Arabidopsis thaliana: one gene and its partners. The protein of the gene in region 4 interacts with the protein of the main gene of each other region in a pairwise test. Each region holds a gene or a part of one and is shown on either strand. Other genes may lie near its edges. The genes, in order: FER1, AXR3, SHY2 and MOS6.

Region 1 (4,235 bases), on a different chromosome or scaffold from region 4:
TTCTTTTAGTAACTCAGGCAACGGCTTCTGCATTTTCCCTGTCAACATGATGACAAATGGGGAATTTCAAAAAAACAAAAAATTGAAAGATGCAGTCAGAAGAAGAATAAAAAAAAGCAAACCTTTGATTTTGTTGACCAACCATTTTGTTCCTCCTTCAATGCTCGTTGACACCGACTGGCATAAACAAAAACATTGTTTTATATGTTAGAAAAGATCACAGTTTCAAACAAAATAATCTAACCACATGAGCAAGAAGAGAAGACATTATAGGATCATATATTTGAATCATTTCTTAAGATATCATGGTTTTGGTAATTAGATGTTCTTCCTTATGTGACGTGATTTACCTAACAATGAACTCAAAACATTCGTACAACTGCATGATACCAAAATTACGATAAAGGTGGTTGATTATATCGGAACCACGTCAATAGATCAAAATCGATTAGGAAAACAGATGAATCAGATTCTATAGGATGGGTCAAAAAAAGACGTACGTTGAGATCGTTGCCGACGGAGTCAAACTGCTTGTTAGCCTTTTGGCCTAACCAGTAGGATCCAACCTTGTTGAAGATCTGATCCATATTCTCTCGAGAAAGGATAGAGAAGATTTTGAGAAAACGAAGGACGACTTTCTTTCTTTTTCTTCCGGGAAAGAATTTTGGGAACCCACCACTCTCGCACCGTTGGATTCGTTATTTGTGCACTATTCCTGCAGCCAATTAACTTATGACATGTGGCAAATACATAAACACCAATATATTTATTGAAGCAAGCAGGCAGCATTATACTGTACAAATTACAAAAAAAAGTACTTGCCTATCACTCCTCCTTGGGACTGACTATCTATCTATTGGGCCTTCAATGAAAATCAGATTAAATAGGTGCAACACAACTTGGGAACTGAAGAACCACATGGCACAAAACAGAGTAAAATTAAAGACTACAATCAATCCTTTTTTTTTGCCATTCCTCCCATGATTTTACTTGTCTATTAGACGAACCTCAGCTAAATTTGTAATTACAGTCGAAAATATTATTAAGCTCTTTAACACTTTTATAGCCTACCCTTGTCTTTGTGCATTCCAGAGTAATACGAATCGATTCAAATCAAGCCAATAAAATAAAACCAAGCCTAACTACACTTTATTTAATGCTTAATTTTTGTCCTTGCCAACATTACAACTTTTTAGAAAAACCATTTGATATGATTTTTTAACTTGGGCCGTGACATTACTAATGAGGCCCACAATGTACTTACTCCGACGTGTAATTGTCTCCGATAAAGACAAGGAACCATTTGGAACCTCTCACGCGCTTTAGCTGGAAATTACGTGGAGTTGAGCTACTCGCGACTCTATCCTATGTATAATTGTATATCAGTTTTCCGTCTCCATCAAATATCCTAGAGAGCCACGAATTTTTCCTTCTTTGTTGTAAATTATGAATATTAGGCCACATAATACGGAAAGTCTTAAAGGGTTTGGACCATTCTCAATCTTATGTTCTAGTAGCTTGATGATTTTTTATAAAAACAATATGGAAATACTTTTATCTCTATCCGATTTCCTATGTCAATATGTGTCACAGGATTTTACACGTCTAACTTATGTTGGAAACGCTATCATCTTTTCTTTTTTTTTTTTTATAGTAAACAATTGTATTTGTTATCATCTACAACTCTAAAAAATACATTTCGAAAAATAGGAGAGAGCGAGTAGGAAATAAGAAAGTGGCAACGCGAGAGTAGGAACCGGAAATGGTAAAAAGATTCTGAGGATAAAAGAGAAAGCAGAGAAACAGACAAACTTTATTTGGAGAGATGTTAACGTGGATCGAATATCCTCACGTTCACACTATCCCATTGGATGTAGCACGAGGCCGCCACACGCCCCTACATCTGGCTTTCATATCCACCCTCCACGTGGATCTCAATCCAACGGTGACCACACGCCTTTTCCCTCTTATATAAACCCTTCCTCCTTCCTCTTTCTTATCATCATCACCATCTCTTACAACAAATCTCAGGCGGCTCAACACTATCCTCTTCTACATTTTCCAACGATGGCCTCAAACGCACTCTCGTCTTTCACCGCCGCTAATCCCGCTCTGTCTCCTAAGCCACTACTCCCTCACGGCTCTGCTTCTCCGTCGGTTTCTCTCGGCTTCTCCAGGAAAGTTGGCGGCGGCAGAGCAGTGGTCGTTGCAGCGGCTACGGTGGACACAAACAACATGCCGATGACCGGAGTCGTGTTCCAGCCTTTCGAAGAGGTGAAGAAAGCCGATCTGGCCATTCCAATCACATCTCATGCCTCTCTCGCTCGCCAGAGGTTTGCCGACGCTAGCGAGGCAGTCATTAATGAGCAAATCAAGTAAGCTTCTCTTTTCTTTTCTGTCTAATTAAAGAAACGAAAATGTTTAAAGATTAGATCTAACGGAGGAGGTTGCTTTCTATTTACAGTGTGGAATACAACGTCTCCTATGTGTACCATTCAATGTACGCATACTTTGACAGAGACAACGTTGCTATGAAGGGACTAGCCAAGTAATTATTACCTTCTAACTCTAATCTTAATCTTATTTATAATAATCTTGATCGTATACTTCAAAATGAGATATATATGTCCATACTAAACATGAGTTTTTATAATCACCAGATTTTTCAAGGAATCAAGTGAGGAAGAGAGAGGGCATGCTGAGAAGTTTATGGAGTACCAGGTTTTCTATTTTTACCTTCTTTTCTGTTTTAGAAAAGTTGATAAAGACTTGTGATTCACTTAGTTAATATTCATATTGTTGGTTTGTTGTCTCTATACAGAACCAAAGAGGAGGAAGAGTGAAACTCCACCCTATCGTCTCACCTATCTCAGAATTCGAACATGCTGAAAAAGGAGATGCTTTATATGGTAAAACTTTAAGCAAATACACTATCTTAATCCTAAAATAACAACTTTTCTTTTTTTTTAAAGATACAGATATTTATTAGTTTACTAATCTTTGTTTTCAGCAATGGAGTTGGCTCTGTCTCTAGAGAAACTCACTAATGAGAAGCTTCTAAACGTTCACAAAGTAAGTTCCCTAACTTATCCATTTGATCATCAAAGATTAAACTTATAGTCATTTTCCTAATACTAACTAACACGTACTTTTGGCCAACAAAACAGGTGGCCTCAGAGAACAATGATCCCCAGTTAGCTGATTTCGTTGAGAGTGAATTTCTGGGAGAGCAGGTAAAAGTTCTTTTGCCTTTGTTCGGATTACAACTAGTGACTTGTATAATCTGTACATGTTCTGACTCAGAATATATTATGGACTATTTCTAGATTGAAGCAATCAAGAAGATCTCAGACTACATCACCCAGCTAAGGATGATCGGCAAAGGCCACGGTACGAATCAAAACCCTATATTGAGATAGTGTTCTCAGACTTGAATGGTATTTCTAAAAGCTTATTTACATTTGTTCTGTCTTTGCAGGAGTTTGGCATTTCGACCAGATGCTTCTGAACTAGACTTGGACCTCTATAAGTTCACTTTCAGATGACCAATGTTGGGGTTAAAACAGAAGAACCCGAAGATTCTGTAAAAGCTTTAGATTGAACATTATGGACTAATAAGATTGTAGTAGTAAGCTTTGTGTTCAAGATGGTTTTTGTAATAACTTCGTAAGCTTAATCAATGAAGTTTTTGTTTTAGTATATTCTAACTAGCTATAAACCTACGGCCAAACAATGCGTAACTAAGAAAATAGTGAAAACTCAGACCTATCTAATTAAACATAGAATATTTATGATCCAACTTGAAAGAGTAAGCATAACGAACCTGTTTATGAAGAACATGTAAAAGAAGCATGAAGCGTATGTCACTTTCCACCGAGAAGGACAAGCTGGTCACTGGGATATAACTGAACAGCAAACAAGAACAAGATCACTGTCACATCAAAGCAAAAGAGATGCTCTTACTTTGATTCCATGTTGAACAGTAGAAAATCATTTCTAACCAAACAAAGACCTGTCTGTTCTACAAAGAGCTGACAAATGTACGAAAATGAGTATCCATAAGAAGTTCATGACGTATGAAAACACCATTAAGCTTTTCATGTACAGATTCTCCCTTAGTGATTTATCTTTTCATCATGGTTCTTCAAACCACTAAGCATTAAGTAAAGATTGAGAATCTTATTTGTATAATGACGAAGAAGTCCCTCGCACGGGAACAATCAAGATTGGATACT
Region 2 (4,918 bases), on a different chromosome or scaffold from region 4:
TAAAGTTTCGCATACAATCCATTTATGTGTGCGGGCGCATTTTTTTGTAATCATGTAGGCTGGACCGAGAATTTATATTATTCACTGGTTTACAATTTCATGTGAATTCCATAGTGATCAGTAGATATATATATTGATCAGACAAAGTAGATACACATTGATAAAACACGACAAAATGATGTGATATATAAGACAAAGTGACCCAAAATTCGATTGAAAAATTTGGGGTACGTTGATTTGAAAACTCATGAGAGTTTTTTGGGATAGAAACAAAAGGAGAGAAAAGGGTTAAAGAGGAGGATGTAGACAAGGCAAGGAACAAAAGTAGGGTTTAAGATGTTTTCGCCCCTGAATTTTATTTGATGTAACTTGTCCCTTTATCATCTCCATGTTTTTCTTCTTCTCATTAATTTAAATTTTGGCTTTGGAATTTATGGTGATGTTAATTGTACCCTCTCTTCCTTTGGATTTTGATGCCACTCATGTCCCCTCTCATAGATTTTATTAGGGTAGGAATATGCCTTTTTCCCTCTTTATTTTCATATTTATTGAATTTACGTTGGTTAATTATGGTTAGTACGCTTGGTGTTATTTAAACGTCCCGTATTCACAGTTTACGCCTAACTGATTACTTTGAACTAAAACCAGTGTCTAGTAGATCACTAAAGTCGAATTTTGAACGAAAGTTTGAAAATTCGCAAAAGCGCCGTGAAAATACAATTCCAAAACATATCATTTTTGTTTTTGGAAGCGTGATTGATGAAATAAAAACAAAATATGTTTTGGAAGTGCGACAGAATTTGTTTTTTTGTTTAGAAATGCGATAATATAGACAAATTAATAGAAAATGTAATACAAATTTAGGTGCTTTCATAACTACAAAAAAAAAAAAAAACTACCCTATTGTTGAAAACTTTCATACTACAAGAATAACACAAGCAATATAAAAGAAGAAAAATAATTTTCAATAATCAAAAACAGACATTATATTTTAGTAGTCAATTTAATCTGTAAATATCTGTAAAGAAAATTAATCACCAATTTTATTGTTAACTACAAAGTGGTGTTTATAATATTGCAATTTATAGTTTGTTAACTACAAAGTATAAACATTAAAGAGTAATGATGCGTTTTTATGTGTCTAGATACACATTTCGCTGTACGTGTTTATAGGTGAGTTTTTAATCAATAAATATTGAAGATGTACCGTATGCTTTATTTTGTATTGGCATGAGAATAATTATATACAAGAGGGCTGCGCTTTTATTGTGGGATGAATAATTGAATCATGTGGATGTGATATGCATAATTGGAAGGTTCCGGCGAAGAATCTTACGGGGAAAAATAATCAAAATCATGAATATATATTCATTAGTTAATAATTATATTTAGAAGTCAAAAAGCATAATATAGTTATATTAATAATAATGTACATCTCTATTGTAACACTCTCATATGAGATGTCTGCGACCTCGCCACTCAAAAGAATATATATTTATAAACTATACGTTGATATAGTTTTTAAGACCATATGGTATATACATATATTTAGTTAGATACCCCATATCAATTAATCGGTTCATCACCACTTAATTCACTTGGTTGCTTCGAATGTGTTTCATAATTCACTTGTAATTTTAAAATCTTTCCTTCACTTGTGCTTTCGCTTGTAATCTCAAAATGTTATATATCTCTTTTAACGGGAGAAAAACGATTAAAGACGGATTAAAATATATATCCATTTTGTATAGTCAAATGCAATAATATATACATAATCTACAAGATAAATCATAAGAAAGATTCAATAACAGTAATAGAGTAATAACAGTGATTACTGATTAGTCTAAAAGACTAAAACTCGAGGATGATGACTTAATCAAAGGGCTTAGATTCATCCACGTGTCTAAAACCCGTTTAATCAAAGATCTCTTAAATACGACATACACATGCAGCTACCTCCTAGACAGAGATATAATACAGACTCATCTCACTTTGTATTATTTGAGTGTTTTTATAAAACCATTTTTCCATCTTCCTCATCACCTTCCCAAGAAGAAGAACACCAAAGAAGAAGAAAGGTTAATAATGATGGGCAGTGTCGAGCTGAATCTGAGGGAGACTGAGCTGTGTCTTGGTCTTCCCGGTGGAGATACAGTGGCTCCGGTAACCGGAAACAAGAGAGGGTTCTCAGAGACGGTTGATCTGAAGCTAAATCTGAATAATGAGCCTGCAAACAAGGAAGGATCTACGACTCATGACGTCGTGACTTTTGATTCCAAGGAGAAGAGTGCTTGTCCTAAAGATCCAGCCAAACCTCCGGCCAAGTAATTTTACTATTTTGTCCTTTATGATTTATTTTCCACTCTTCTCTACTGCTCTTAATATTAACATTTTTGTAAAGGTGACTGCAAAAAAAAACAGAAATTTCATTAAAGATATATATTTTTCTTCGCCAAAACCATTTTATCATATGTCTACGGTTTTTTTCTCTTCTTAAATCGTCCAATGTCTTAATATATTTAATTATGTTTAACCCATAGTCTCATGCAAGTAAAATTTATGTGACATCACGTCAAAGCTAACTACAGTCTATATCTTGTATAACATAACCGTTTTTCCGTTTTAAAAAAAATATAGGGCACAAGTTGTGGGATGGCCACCGGTGAGATCATACCGGAAGAACGTGATGGTTTCCTGCCAAAAATCAAGCGGTGGCCCGGAGGCGGCGGCGTTCGTGAAGGTATCAATGGACGGAGCACCGTACTTGAGGAAAATCGATTTGAGGATGTATAAAAGCTACGATGAGCTTTCTAATGCTTTGTCCAACATGTTCAGCTCTTTTACCATGGGTACGTTTTATAAGTATATTCCTTATATATATATGTAGATCCTTCCATGCACATTTAGTTACTAATTAATTGTTACTATAGAAAGAAAAATTAATCATCATGATGATAGATCAGTCCCAAATGAATTACCGTTATCGAGTATACAAATATTTCATAATTGAGTAACCCGTTAGTAGTAGTTTAGAAACTGTGAAAAGAAAACTATGTGATAAAATCCAATTGCGAAAAATGTATATTTCATTTGTTGCACCATAAAAGAAAACCACCAAGTTTAAATTCAGGATATCAAGTTCTTATACCTAAGATTATTTTAGGCAAACATGGAGGAGAAGAAGGAATGATAGACTTCATGAATGAGAGGAAATTGATGGATTTGGTGAATAGCTGGGACTATGTTCCCTCTTATGAAGACAAAGACGGTGATTGGATGCTCGTCGGCGACGTTCCTTGGCCGTACGTCTTCTTCTTCTCCCTTATTAATTACCATTTAATTAGAGCTTTATTGTTTCGGTTAAAATTCGAGCTTTATTTTTGTTTATGTCATTTATTTGTTTCTAATAAATAACCATTTGTTTTAATCTTTTTATTTATTAGAATGTTCGTCGATACATGCAAGCGTTTACGTCTCATGAAAGGATCGGATGCCATTGGTCTCGGTATGTATTTTCTACCAATGCATATTATATTCACATTGATTAAATTTTGATTTCAGTTTGTTACCCATTTAAATTAAAATTTACGTGTATATGTATACAATATAGTTAAAATAGCTTACAAAAGAGATTTGCCCCAAAAAGAAAAAAAAAACTTACAAAAGAGCTTAAAAGTTTACTATAATGTACACCTCAACCGCATAACTTGGTCGCCTAAATAATTTAATATGCTATCGTTTAAGATGATGTCTAATCATCAAACGCTTAAACCGTTCATTATTTTTCGCACAATTATATTTCTACCGTAAAGAACAAATTTGTCGAAAGAAAACTTATCGCTTTGATCTTTTAAATCATTGATATAATACATGATATTTGATTCTCTTTTGTCAAATGCAAAAAAAGAAAGAGATTAAATAACAGAGGGAATAAAAAATATACTCTTTTAACAGAATAAATACCGTGGTCAAATGTCTTTGCTTATTAATTGTAAAAATATTTCAGCTCCGAGGGCGATGGAGAAGTGCAAGAGCAGAGCTTGAAGTCAAATTAAAAGGATAAGTGGTATCGATTATATATTTGATTAACACATTGATTGGTGTTAATTGCTCTTTTTTTTCTTACGATGAAATACATTGTTCAGTTTCTTTTGATTGTCTGTGTTTTGATCTGGATTTGGTATGTAGATATAGTTTGTATGCTATTATGTGTAATGAACTTAAGTTAAATATTTGAGACATTTGTAATGGAAAATGTGTAATAATTTGAACATCCTATTCCTATGTATATGTTTGTCTTTATTTATTTATTTTGCCAAAGATGTGTATATTCGTATAAGGAATATGTGATTTTTATTCCACTATGGAAAATTTAATCTCACATTACTTCTCTTTAATTTCAGTCTCTTAATAGTCAGTTATTTTCTAAAGGCAGAACAGTATTCTTTTGGTTCGTCTTGAAAGTGAAACTAAAGATCATAGCGATCGAGTATTTGACCCTAAAGTAAACTTTCCCCAAGTATAATTTCGAAGTCGGTATAATTAGAATTACAATATTACAATATACATATGTTATATCAGATGAATATAATTACAAAAATGGGGAAAATTCACTTTGTTGGTATATTGATTTGTTGGTACTTAAAGTGATAATTGGCTTTGGTTGGAGGAAATAAAATAGAGAAATAGGACCCATAGGGAAGAGAGGGAGCAATGCCATGTGCATATTCATGGGTCTCTTCATTTCATTACCTTTGTTTATCATTTAATTTCCCATTAAATTAATTAGGAATATTAACTTTTATACCAACTAAATTTATTAACAAGGTTATCATAATTATACACAAATATCCTCTCTATAATGAAAAATGAAAAACCACTAGAAATATGGAATTACGTTGTATCCTTTATCACTTTC
Region 3 (3,638 bases), on a different chromosome or scaffold from region 4:
AACTTGAGTTCTAATTCTGATGCTCACAAACCCAAGAGGAAGAGAAGGCCTAAGAAGAAGAAGCTACAGGTGAGTTTTCTCTCGACTCTTTCCTGGAATTCTGTTTCGTACTTTTGTTGAAAGTCTTATTGGTACATTTGCATCAATCTTTCAAACTCTATAACTAAAGAATCTGCATTTTACAAGCTGATTATATATTATTCGTTTTGCTGTTTCAGGCGTGAACAAGGTCTCTCCCGCCATGTCTGAGAAAACGAAGAAGCTCGTAACACAGTTCATCAATTCCAAAAGCTTCACTCATTACTACGGCCTGTCTAGTCTTACATCTTCTGATTGGATCTAATGCGTATATATATGTTGCCATGAAAGCAGAGAGGTAGGTGTCTGTTGTTTTTGGCTGATGAAATGAACCCTAAGCTTTGGGCAAAACGTATTTCTCATATAAGATAAGTTTTTTTTTTGTTTCTATTGATTTATGTTCATGTTGGCTTTGATCGAATTGTATTAATTAATGGGAGTAATCCAACCTCGACCATCAATAATATGATCTAAGAACTAGTGAACCAAAATAGAAAATGGGTATTGCTTGAAAATCTCTTTGATCAATGAGAACGCAAAACAGAATTGCTACAAATATAAAAACAACTCTTCAATCTTCATAACACTTTAATTAATGTAATACACATAACCAAAGATTTAAGGACAACCTTTTGCCCTGTTTCTGAAACAAAATGTAATTAGGTTCCAGTTTCATATGCTTAAGACCATTAAGCATGTTTACATTTGAATTTTACCGATGAGGTAAATAAAGGCTATGAATTGGATTCAATCCAATGAACATAGATCTTGCCCGAGAAACCCGACAACCCAAGCACAGACAGAGATTTCTCTGAACCAAAAGAAACTCTATTTTTCTTCAAGTTCTTTTGTGTCTCTGTTAGATTTCTTGAAGATATATCTCATACACCACAGCCTAAACCTTTGGCTTCTGATCCTTTCATGATCCTTAGTCTCTTGCACGTACATATGAACATCCTGCAACAACAAACAGAACCCATAAGAACACTTACAAAATTGTTGTTTCTGATTTTTGATTTTGTGGAAATTGTTTTCAGACAGGTATATGAAAGAAGACTTACTCCCATGGAACATCACCAATGAGCATCCAATCACCATCTTTGTCTTCATAAGTAGGCACAAAGTCTGAACCTTTATATCCATCTCTCTCAAAGTACTCTCCCACAGAGAATTTGAACATCACTTCTAAAGCTTTAAGCAACTCTGAGTATCCTTTGTAACAACTCAGATCTATTTTCCTCAAGTATGGTGCACCATCCATACTTACTTTCACATAGATTCCTTGACCCTCATGCTCAGATTCATTCTTCTTACTCTGAATGTTGTTCTTCCTGTAAGATCTAACTGGTGGCCATCCAACAATCTGAGCCCTGCAAAAAGGAAGAAACACGGTCAATCAACTGAATTCTCCACCACTACAGATTCAGAGACTTTTGTGTGAGTTTAACTTACTTTCGAGGAGGGGATGTTTCAGTTTTCCTTGATGATGATTCAATCTCCTTCTCAGTATCAGTTGATAGTACTCTCTTATTGTTGTTATTACAGCAAGAAACTCTCTCTTTTGCTTCACATACATTATCTGTTCCCGGTAATCCCAGCCTCAGCTCTGTTTCCTTGAGGTTAACAAACTCATCCATTTCTTCAAGAATTGCAGGAGAAGATAAAAAGAAAAGCTTTTGGTTATTATCCTTGAAAGAGAGGAGAGATATAGAGAAGCTGCTGATGATGAAGATGAGAGGCTTCGAGGAAGCTGAGTGTTTTATACAAGTTAAAGGAGAATAAAGATAGATACTGGTAGAGAGAGAAGAAACTGTTTTCTGAATTAAGGACAAAGGAAAAAAAGCTAAGCTTGTCGGTAGCAGTAACAGCAACTTTGAGGCAAAAGTGTGTCCCATCTTCTTGGGGACATTTGTGGGGACACTTTCTTTTTCTCCCATCTGTCCAAACCCAAAAACAAAATATTTTCATCTTTCTTTCTTGTGATAGACGGTCCAGATCAAATCTTCGAATCCCCCACCACATGTGGTATGCCATATGGGCATATCACCTCTCTCTATCTCCCATTAATAACTTATCACAACCAAGAAATTTCGGATCGTAAGCTCATAATCTTTTCTTACCAAGAACAACAACCGAATACATATTTTACTCGTTTTCTCAATAGATGGATGGTTAATTAACTCTATATGTAAAGGTAGCTAGTGTTCAATGTTTGGATTGTGGGTAGTTCAGATTTGATGAGTTTATTGACTTGAGATCATAAGTAATAATTTATGTCTCACATCTTCAAAAAACAGGTACTTTGGGTGTTGAAGAGCCAAAAACAGAGCCTACGTGACAAAATTACTTATTGTTCTTTACTGGGGTTTGTTAAAGCCCACAACTTTTGTCTCTCTGTCTCTAACCTATTAATCATGATCACCACACACACACACACACGTATATATGAATTTGAAATAAAACTGAGCATCACGACAGGACATCTTCCTTAAGGATCAACTAGCACAAGGCTTTAGTTAAATGTCAGTAACATCATAATGGGGTCTTGTAGTTTTGTTTTGGAACCTGAGAGATCTTTAACAGATTCTCGCTGTCTTTGTTTATGTTACAGCGTGGCATTGGTTGTATTCTACTTATATGGAGCTCCTATTGTAGATGTTTACGTCTTTGACATAACCTACTCGAATTGAACCGGATCTAAGTTTTGGCTCCATTTTTTGGTTTTCTCATGCATGGCTTTCGAAATCGAAGTCCGAATCGGTACTATGCAAAGAGTTGTTAAGAACTTATGTTATAACTTTACATTATACGTGTAACAATAATCCTAAAAGAATTTTTTTTTTTTTTTTATCTACATATATACGTACGTAGTGACTTTCAACAAGTACTAACGATTAACGAACATATTTCAACAAAATAAATTCATACAATTAGAGGTGACTGCTAACAGCTACTCAGTACTCATCACGCATTGATTTCTTCTGTACGGTGAGAAACATTCTCTTCTTGGTTCAGTCATAAATTACTAGATTCGTTTTCTTGACAGAACAGGTCATAAGTTTGAATTGAATTAATTGTATTTATACCAAGAAAAACTGATGGGAATATATATATATTTATATCATTATTTGTGAATTGGTCACAATATATAGAAGCATTTGATGACTAATATATGTAATATAAAGTTTGCACACACAAACAAATATAAAGTTTTTCCTAAAAAATTTATTTATAATCCGTCAGTGGAACGTAAGATAAAAAATAAATATAAATTAAATGTTTTGTATTCCCATATATATCTTATCCATAAGGAGTTAAAGACTTTTATTAGGCATGAATATCCGCAGGCTTTTCTCATTCACTATAGTATTATGGCATCATCTTTTATTTTTCTGCACTCATTATATGTCATACTGTAGCATACTTTGCAATTTAATTATATATATAAACGAATTTAGTAACTTATACTGAAAATAAAATGACAATGTCTTAGCTACAACAACTAATCACACAAAAATGATTTGTTTTGGTTTTTTAAAGGATAAATTAGACCATTAAGT
Region 4 (5,677 bases):
GGGAAAAGTCTCCCCATCTTGAATATCCTTTTGATCACCATTAATTCTTATATATGGAAATTCAAAATCAGATTAATGGTGGCCAAGAAGAGATCAAGAATATGAAGAAGAAGAAACGATCACGTGGTTTTCACGTGATCGGTGTCGTTTTATACATGCTTCGGCGTCGGAGGAGGAGCAAGCCGCTTAATAACGGGTTTTGGCGGCGAGTTGTCGAGTCCTTTGGGCAGTTGAAAAACGACAATGTTACGGTACTTCCATCGTCGTCTAATATTACGATACTACCACCATCATCTTCTCCGGTGACGGATGAAGTTCCGGCGAGTAGTGACGATCAGGTATCGGAGATGGTTGAGGTTCTCACGGCGACGTCTAGTTCTTGCTCTTCGGGAATCTCGGGATATGGATCAGCAAAGTCGTTGCGAGATATGGATTGTCTTGATGAAGATGATGATGATGATGAAAATTATGGTAATGATGATGGAGGTGATGAGATGATTGATGCGAAAGCTGAGGAGTTTATTGTGAGATTTTATGAACAGATGAGGATGCAAAATCAGGCTTATACAGAACGTTACAAAGCTAAAGAGATGATGATGGTCTAAATCGCACATTGTAATTCTATTCACTGAAGCATAATGTCATATTACATGAGTATACATATATGCATGGAGACGTGCACAGAGTTTGTCTTTGATTATTTCGATGATTTTTTTTTTTCGTCTATTATTTCGATGATTTAAGTAATGATATATATATTGTATTCAGTTAGTCTTGATTGTATACTTTTATAGTAGACGATGAATTTGTACGCAAACTATATTAAAATATATTTATAAAACTGATGTCATTTTGGTTTACTATATATCATCTTCAAGTCATAATGCTAGAACCAAATTGCAGCTAGCTTCTTGTGAGTGATATAGTAGATGATGAATTTGTACGCAAATTATATACATGACTCTGAGCTTCTTTGGCAGTTTTCCTAGGGTGTCATATACATGACTCTGAGCTACAAGCCTTTGTTGTTGTCATATTTCAAGCAATTCGTTTTTTTCTTTTTTTTCTTTTGAACCAAAAACCCAATAATGAGTTAAGTAGAAGTTTATAATTCACTTATGGGTACAATCCAATATAATTTAGAATTTTCCTATTGGTTTGAGAATCCAATTTGCTTGAAGAGAAAATCAGAGACATGGAAGCTAAAGAAGAGAGATTAGAAGTTTATGATGTGGAGAGTAAATTGAATCGGTTGCAATTCGGTTTATTATACTAGATTTTTGGTTTGGCATTAGGTTTATGACGTTAACCTAATAATAAACTACAAAATTTGGTTTTGTGGAGACTAAATTCTCTAACTTTCGATTTAGGAGGATATAATAATTTACCTTCTATTTTGTGTTGACTGTAAACGAAGTTCTAAATCTGTGTAGTTGTGGTACTATGTGAAACTGCGTAGGGGAATAGAGGTCGTTCACTCAAGTTTATAAGATGGCACAAATAGAAAGAAATCAATTTAGTTGTTCTCTCATTTGAAAGGAATTCAAGCAATATGGTTGTTCTCGTCTTTCCAAGATGCATTGAATAGTAAAGCATCTAATTAGTAAAGTTCTCATAATGCTCAGTTGCTCACATTGATCTTTTTACCCCTTTTAATTAGAGTACAGTCTTGTAAATTACGTTGTTTTAGCCAAGTTTGGCCTATGTAATAATTTATTTGGGCTTTAAAAAGCCTCTTCAAATTAGAGTATTGCTGCTGCAGAAAAAGAAAAGAATATTTGCGTGGAGAAAATAAAGGAAAACAAATCCATAATTAGTAGTCGGTGTATACATACCTAAAAAGGCAGAGAGACGTTAAGATTCAAATTTCAAAAAAGAAAAAAAATATGAGTGGCAGGTTCGTTATTAATGATAAAACTTAGGGGCAATATTGGATTAACAACAAGTCTCCTGAATCGTGGCCTCCTAAGTACACGCTCTTGTATAAATACACTCGCATCAAACTCCAAAACCCTTATCACTCTCTCATTAATCGAACTTGGCGTGTTTAAATAATCTTCCGATCGTTAATTCTCTTCCGATTTCGATTCGATTTTAGCGGCGATGTCTCTCAGACCTAGCGCGAAGACGGAGGTGCGACGGAATCGGTACAAAGTAGCGGTCGATGCGGAGGAAGGACGGCGGAGGCGAGAGGATAACTTGGTTGAGATCAGGAAGAACAAGAGAGAGGAAAATTTGCAGAAGAAGAGATTTACGTCTTCTATGGCTTTTGGCTCAGCAACGGGACAAACGGAACAGGATCTTTCTTCAGCGAACCAAGTATGTGATTCTTTCTTTTGTTTACGATTCCACCTTTAGTTTTTTCTGATTTTATGTTCCGATTTGATCAATTAGATCGTCTCTGTTTCATATGAATTTCTAATTGGAGATCGATTTGTTCTAGATTTGAAGTTCTTGCGATGTTTCTTTGTTTTTGGTCATAGATTTTGTATTTGATTGCAAAAACTTGCGATGTGTATGTGTTGTTTGGTGAGAGTATTTGTTACTAATGTCTGTTTAATTGACTGGGAATTTGAGCGGTGTTGAATTTGACATGTAAAGAGAATTAGGGTTGATATCTCAACGGAGATCATCAAATTTACTTTAGCTAGAGGAGATTTTTGACTATGATAGTGTCTCTTCGTGTTACAGTTAAAAGATAATCTACCTGCTATGGTTGCTGGAATCTGGTCAGAGGATAGCAATTCACAATTGGAGGCAACAAATCTCTTGCGGAAACTGCTTTCTATTGGTTTGTGATTTATGTTATTGATCGTTACTAGTAGTACATAACAATCAGTGTTTTGGTTAGAGTCTTTAGCAGTTGTTTTTTCTTTTGTAGAACAAAATCCTCCTATCAATGAAGTTGTACAATCTGGTGTTGTTCCTCGTGTTGTGAAGTTTCTTTCCAGGGATGACTTCCCCAAACTTCAGGTGAGTCGCAGCTGCAGTCGTTTTTTTTTGGATATATTGATAGTTACTAGTTTGATGTATTTGTTAACTTGCTTTTGCTGTTTACTTCTGCAATGTGTTTTAGTTTGAGGCAGCTTGGGCGCTCACCAACATTGCTTCAGGGACATCAGAGAACACAAATGTCATCATTGAAAGTGGAGCTGTCCCGATATTCATCCAACTTCTCAGCTCTGCTAGTGAAGATGTCCGCGAACAGGTATATGTTTAAATCCTCACTGTTATCGTTATTGTCACAGAAGAAACACTTAGACATTAGGATCAAGTGGAAATTCATTGAGACTGTTACCATTCTGAGTTCTGGTCTTTCCCTGACTGAGTATAGGCTGTTTGGGCATTGGGAAATGTTGCTGGAGACTCACCAAAATGCCGGGATTTAGTCCTAAGTTACGGTGCCATGACACCTCTTCTGTCTCAATTCAATGAGAATACAAAGCTTTCAATGCTGAGAAATGCTACATGGACATTATCAAACTTCTGCAGAGGGAAGCCCCCACCCGCATTTGAACAGGTTTCCTTAAATATACACACTTTATTGAATCTCCACAATATTTTTTAACATGCTTCTGATATTTTGTTACTTAAAACATTTTTCGAGCAGACACAACCAGCTTTACCAGTTCTTGAGCGCCTTGTGCAATCAATGGATGAAGAAGTTCTCACAGATGCATGCTGGGCTCTGTCATACCTCTCGGATAATTCAAACGACAAAATACAAGCAGTCATTGAAGCAGGAGTTGTTCCTCGCCTCATCCAGCTCTTAGGGTAAGCATCTGATAGTGATCATTTTAATTTTTATTGCCAGGCATGATTATGTTATCTGATTTATGTGCTTCCTCTTTCTCCGTATAGTCATTCGTCGCCATCAGTGCTGATTCCTGCTCTTCGTACCATTGGAAATATTGTAACCGGGGATGATCTACAGACTCAGGTGCATATAATACATTCACCATTCGATTTCGAGTTTTCAGAAGCAAATGTCTCTAACTTATTTTCCTAACACAGATGGTTCTCGACCAGCAAGCGCTTCCTTGTCTTTTGAACCTTCTAAAAAACAATTACAAGAAGAGTATCAAGAAGGAAGCTTGCTGGACTATCTCCAACATTACAGCTGGAAATGCAGATCAGATACAAGTGAGTTTTGTTTATAATATATGGCATTTAACAAGAAAGTCGAAAATTGAAGTTTCCTGTGTCTGATTTTATTCGAACCCGTATGTGCAGGCAGTGATTGATGCAGGTATAATCCAGTCTCTTGTTTGGGTGCTTCAAAGTGCAGAGTTCGAAGTAAAAAAAGAAGCTGCTTGGGGAATATCAAATGCTACTTCTGGTGGCACTCATGATCAAATCAAGTAAAACCATAAAAACCGAAACGAAATGTTTCCTTAACAAAGAATGGTCATTTCTAAAACACGTCTGTGTTTATTGTTTGTTTCTTCTCAGGTTTATGGTGAGCCAAGGCTGTATCAAACCTCTATGCGATCTCCTTACTTGCCCAGATCTGAAAGTTGTAACGGTTTGCTTAGAAGCACTAGAGAACATTCTCGTGGTTGGAGAAGCAGAGAAGAACTTAGGTCACACAGGAGAAGACAACCTCTACGCTCAAATGATTGACGAAGCAGAAGGGTTAGAGAAGATTGAGAATCTTCAGAGTCACGACAACAATGATATCTACGACAAAGCCGTGAAGATCCTCGAAACATTTTGGACTGAAGACAATGAAGAAGAAGGCAACGACGAGAATCATGCTCCACAATCTGGTTTCCAGTTCGGAAGCACCAATGTTCCTCCTGGTCAATTCAACTTTATTTGAAAGGTAAAATAGTTGAATTGGGTCATAGAAGTTGCTTGGACTTTTAAGTAAGCCACATATCGAACGAAAGTGGTAACATCACAAAGATGAAATATCAATCTTCTCTATCTCTTCATGCCCACTCCTTAACTCGTGGACATGAACTATGAAGAAACATAGTACGATTTTCTTTTCTTTTTGGAAGTTTGTCTCAATAACTAAATCATTTGGGGAAGAGAAACAATTATTCTGTGTTAGCCATCATCTCGTCTTTCAACAAAGTTCCCTTTTTTCATATATTAGTGCCATTACAAAATCGTAGTTATGCCTTAACTAAACCAGAAACATTTTTATTCAATAGTTAATCATTTTTACTCGCAATTTTAGAAAACAGAGAAGCTAGAAATAGTAATATACGCTTGTGGAGGTTTGAGGCAACGGTCAAAACTTCAAGAGCAATATACGCATGTGGAGTTTTTATTGGGTACTTTGGTGTCTAATTACAAATAGGAGAGATTAGTGGTGATTAAGTGGTTATTATCATGGTCATAATTTCTATATGCGAGAAATTAGGGTTTAGGCTATGTGACTAATTCGTGTATTTAAAACACTCTCATTGTTTTATATCCAACAGACAACAAGAACAACAACATAGCCAGATATAATGCTGTCTTCACCAGCTTTTGCTGCAGCACGTTCTACTCTCGGTCGTCGTCTTCATGCGAAGAGACTATCTTCTTCTACTGGTCGAACCGCTGATCCAGAGATTCATGCCCGTAACGATGGAGACGAGCCTAGTCTTTTTCCATCAGACCCCGAGGTATATTTTGACTTTGTTGTTTATATATGTCAAGCTTAGCTGTCACAAGTCACAAC

The links.
Region 1: the proteins of MOS6 (region 4) and FER1 interact in binary tests that used the Arabidopsis thaliana proteins (3 or more experiments, as listed by UniProt).
Region 2: the proteins of MOS6 (region 4) and AXR3 interact in binary tests that used the Arabidopsis thaliana proteins (3 or more experiments, as listed by UniProt).
Region 3: the proteins of MOS6 (region 4) and SHY2 interact in binary tests that used the Arabidopsis thaliana proteins (3 or more experiments, as listed by UniProt).

The regions. Positions count from the first base shown.
Region 1 is NC_003076.8:227,427-231,661, reverse strand, and holds FER1 (ferretin 1), read left to right. Parts: upstream 1-1,610; 5' UTR 1,611-2,067; coding exon 2,068-2,375; exon of another isoform or gene 2,376-2,399; intron 2,400-2,464; coding exon 2,465-2,548; intron 2,549-2,660; coding exon 2,661-2,721; intron 2,722-2,821; coding exon 2,822-2,909; intron 2,910-3,010; coding exon 3,011-3,072; intron 3,073-3,167; coding exon 3,168-3,233; intron 3,234-3,326; coding exon 3,327-3,390; intron 3,391-3,478; coding exon 3,479-3,513; 3' UTR 3,514-3,709; downstream 3,710-4,235. Other genes in the region: AT5G01610 (hypothetical protein (Protein of unknown function, DUF538)), read right to left, coding at 1-38, 123-177, 501-587.
Region 2 is NC_003070.9:1,134,297-1,139,214, forward strand, and holds AXR3 (AUX/IAA transcriptional regulator family protein), read left to right. Parts: upstream 1-1,781; 5' UTR 1,782-2,085; coding exon 2,086-2,324; intron 2,325-2,637; coding exon 2,638-2,849; intron 2,850-3,163; coding exon 3,164-3,302; intron 3,303-3,443; coding exon 3,444-3,505; intron 3,506-4,006; coding exon 4,007-4,044; 3' UTR 4,045-4,367; downstream 4,368-4,918. UniProt on the Arabidopsis thaliana protein: Aux/IAA proteins are short-lived transcriptional factors that function as repressors of early auxin response genes at low auxin concentrations.
Region 3 is NC_003070.9:1,127,605-1,131,242, forward strand, and holds SHY2 (AUX/IAA transcriptional regulator family protein), read right to left. Parts: upstream 2,086-3,638; 5' UTR 2,016-2,085; coding exon 1,531-2,015; intron 1,449-1,530; coding exon 1,140-1,448; exon of another isoform or gene 1,036-1,139; coding exon 960-1,035; 3' UTR 545-959; downstream 1-544. Other genes in the region: AT1G04230 (rRNA-processing EFG1-like protein (DUF2361)), read left to right, coding at 1-69, 219-224. UniProt on the Arabidopsis thaliana protein: Aux/IAA proteins are short-lived transcriptional factors that function as repressors of early auxin response genes at low auxin concentrations.
Region 4 is NC_003075.7:950,029-955,705, reverse strand, and holds MOS6 (ARM repeat superfamily protein), read left to right. Parts: upstream 1-2,015; 5' UTR 2,016-2,103; coding exon 2,104-2,319; intron 2,320-2,691; coding exon 2,692-2,791; intron 2,792-2,881; coding exon 2,882-2,973; intron 2,974-3,076; coding exon 3,077-3,208; intron 3,209-3,334; coding exon 3,335-3,520; intron 3,521-3,610; coding exon 3,611-3,774; intron 3,775-3,861; coding exon 3,862-3,940; intron 3,941-4,014; coding exon 4,015-4,143; intron 4,144-4,233; coding exon 4,234-4,361; coding exon of another isoform or gene 4,362-4,365; exon of another isoform or gene 4,366-4,452; coding exon 4,453-4,822; 3' UTR 4,823-5,160; downstream 5,161-5,677. Other genes in the region: AT4G02160 (cotton fiber protein), read left to right, coding at 54-605; AT4G02140 (uncharacterized protein), read left to right, coding at 5,466-5,621. UniProt on the Arabidopsis thaliana protein: Binds to conventional NLS motifs and mediates nuclear protein import across the nuclear envelope. Acts as a cellular receptor for the nuclear import of the virD2 protein of Agrobacterium, but is not essential for Agrobacterium-mediated root transformation.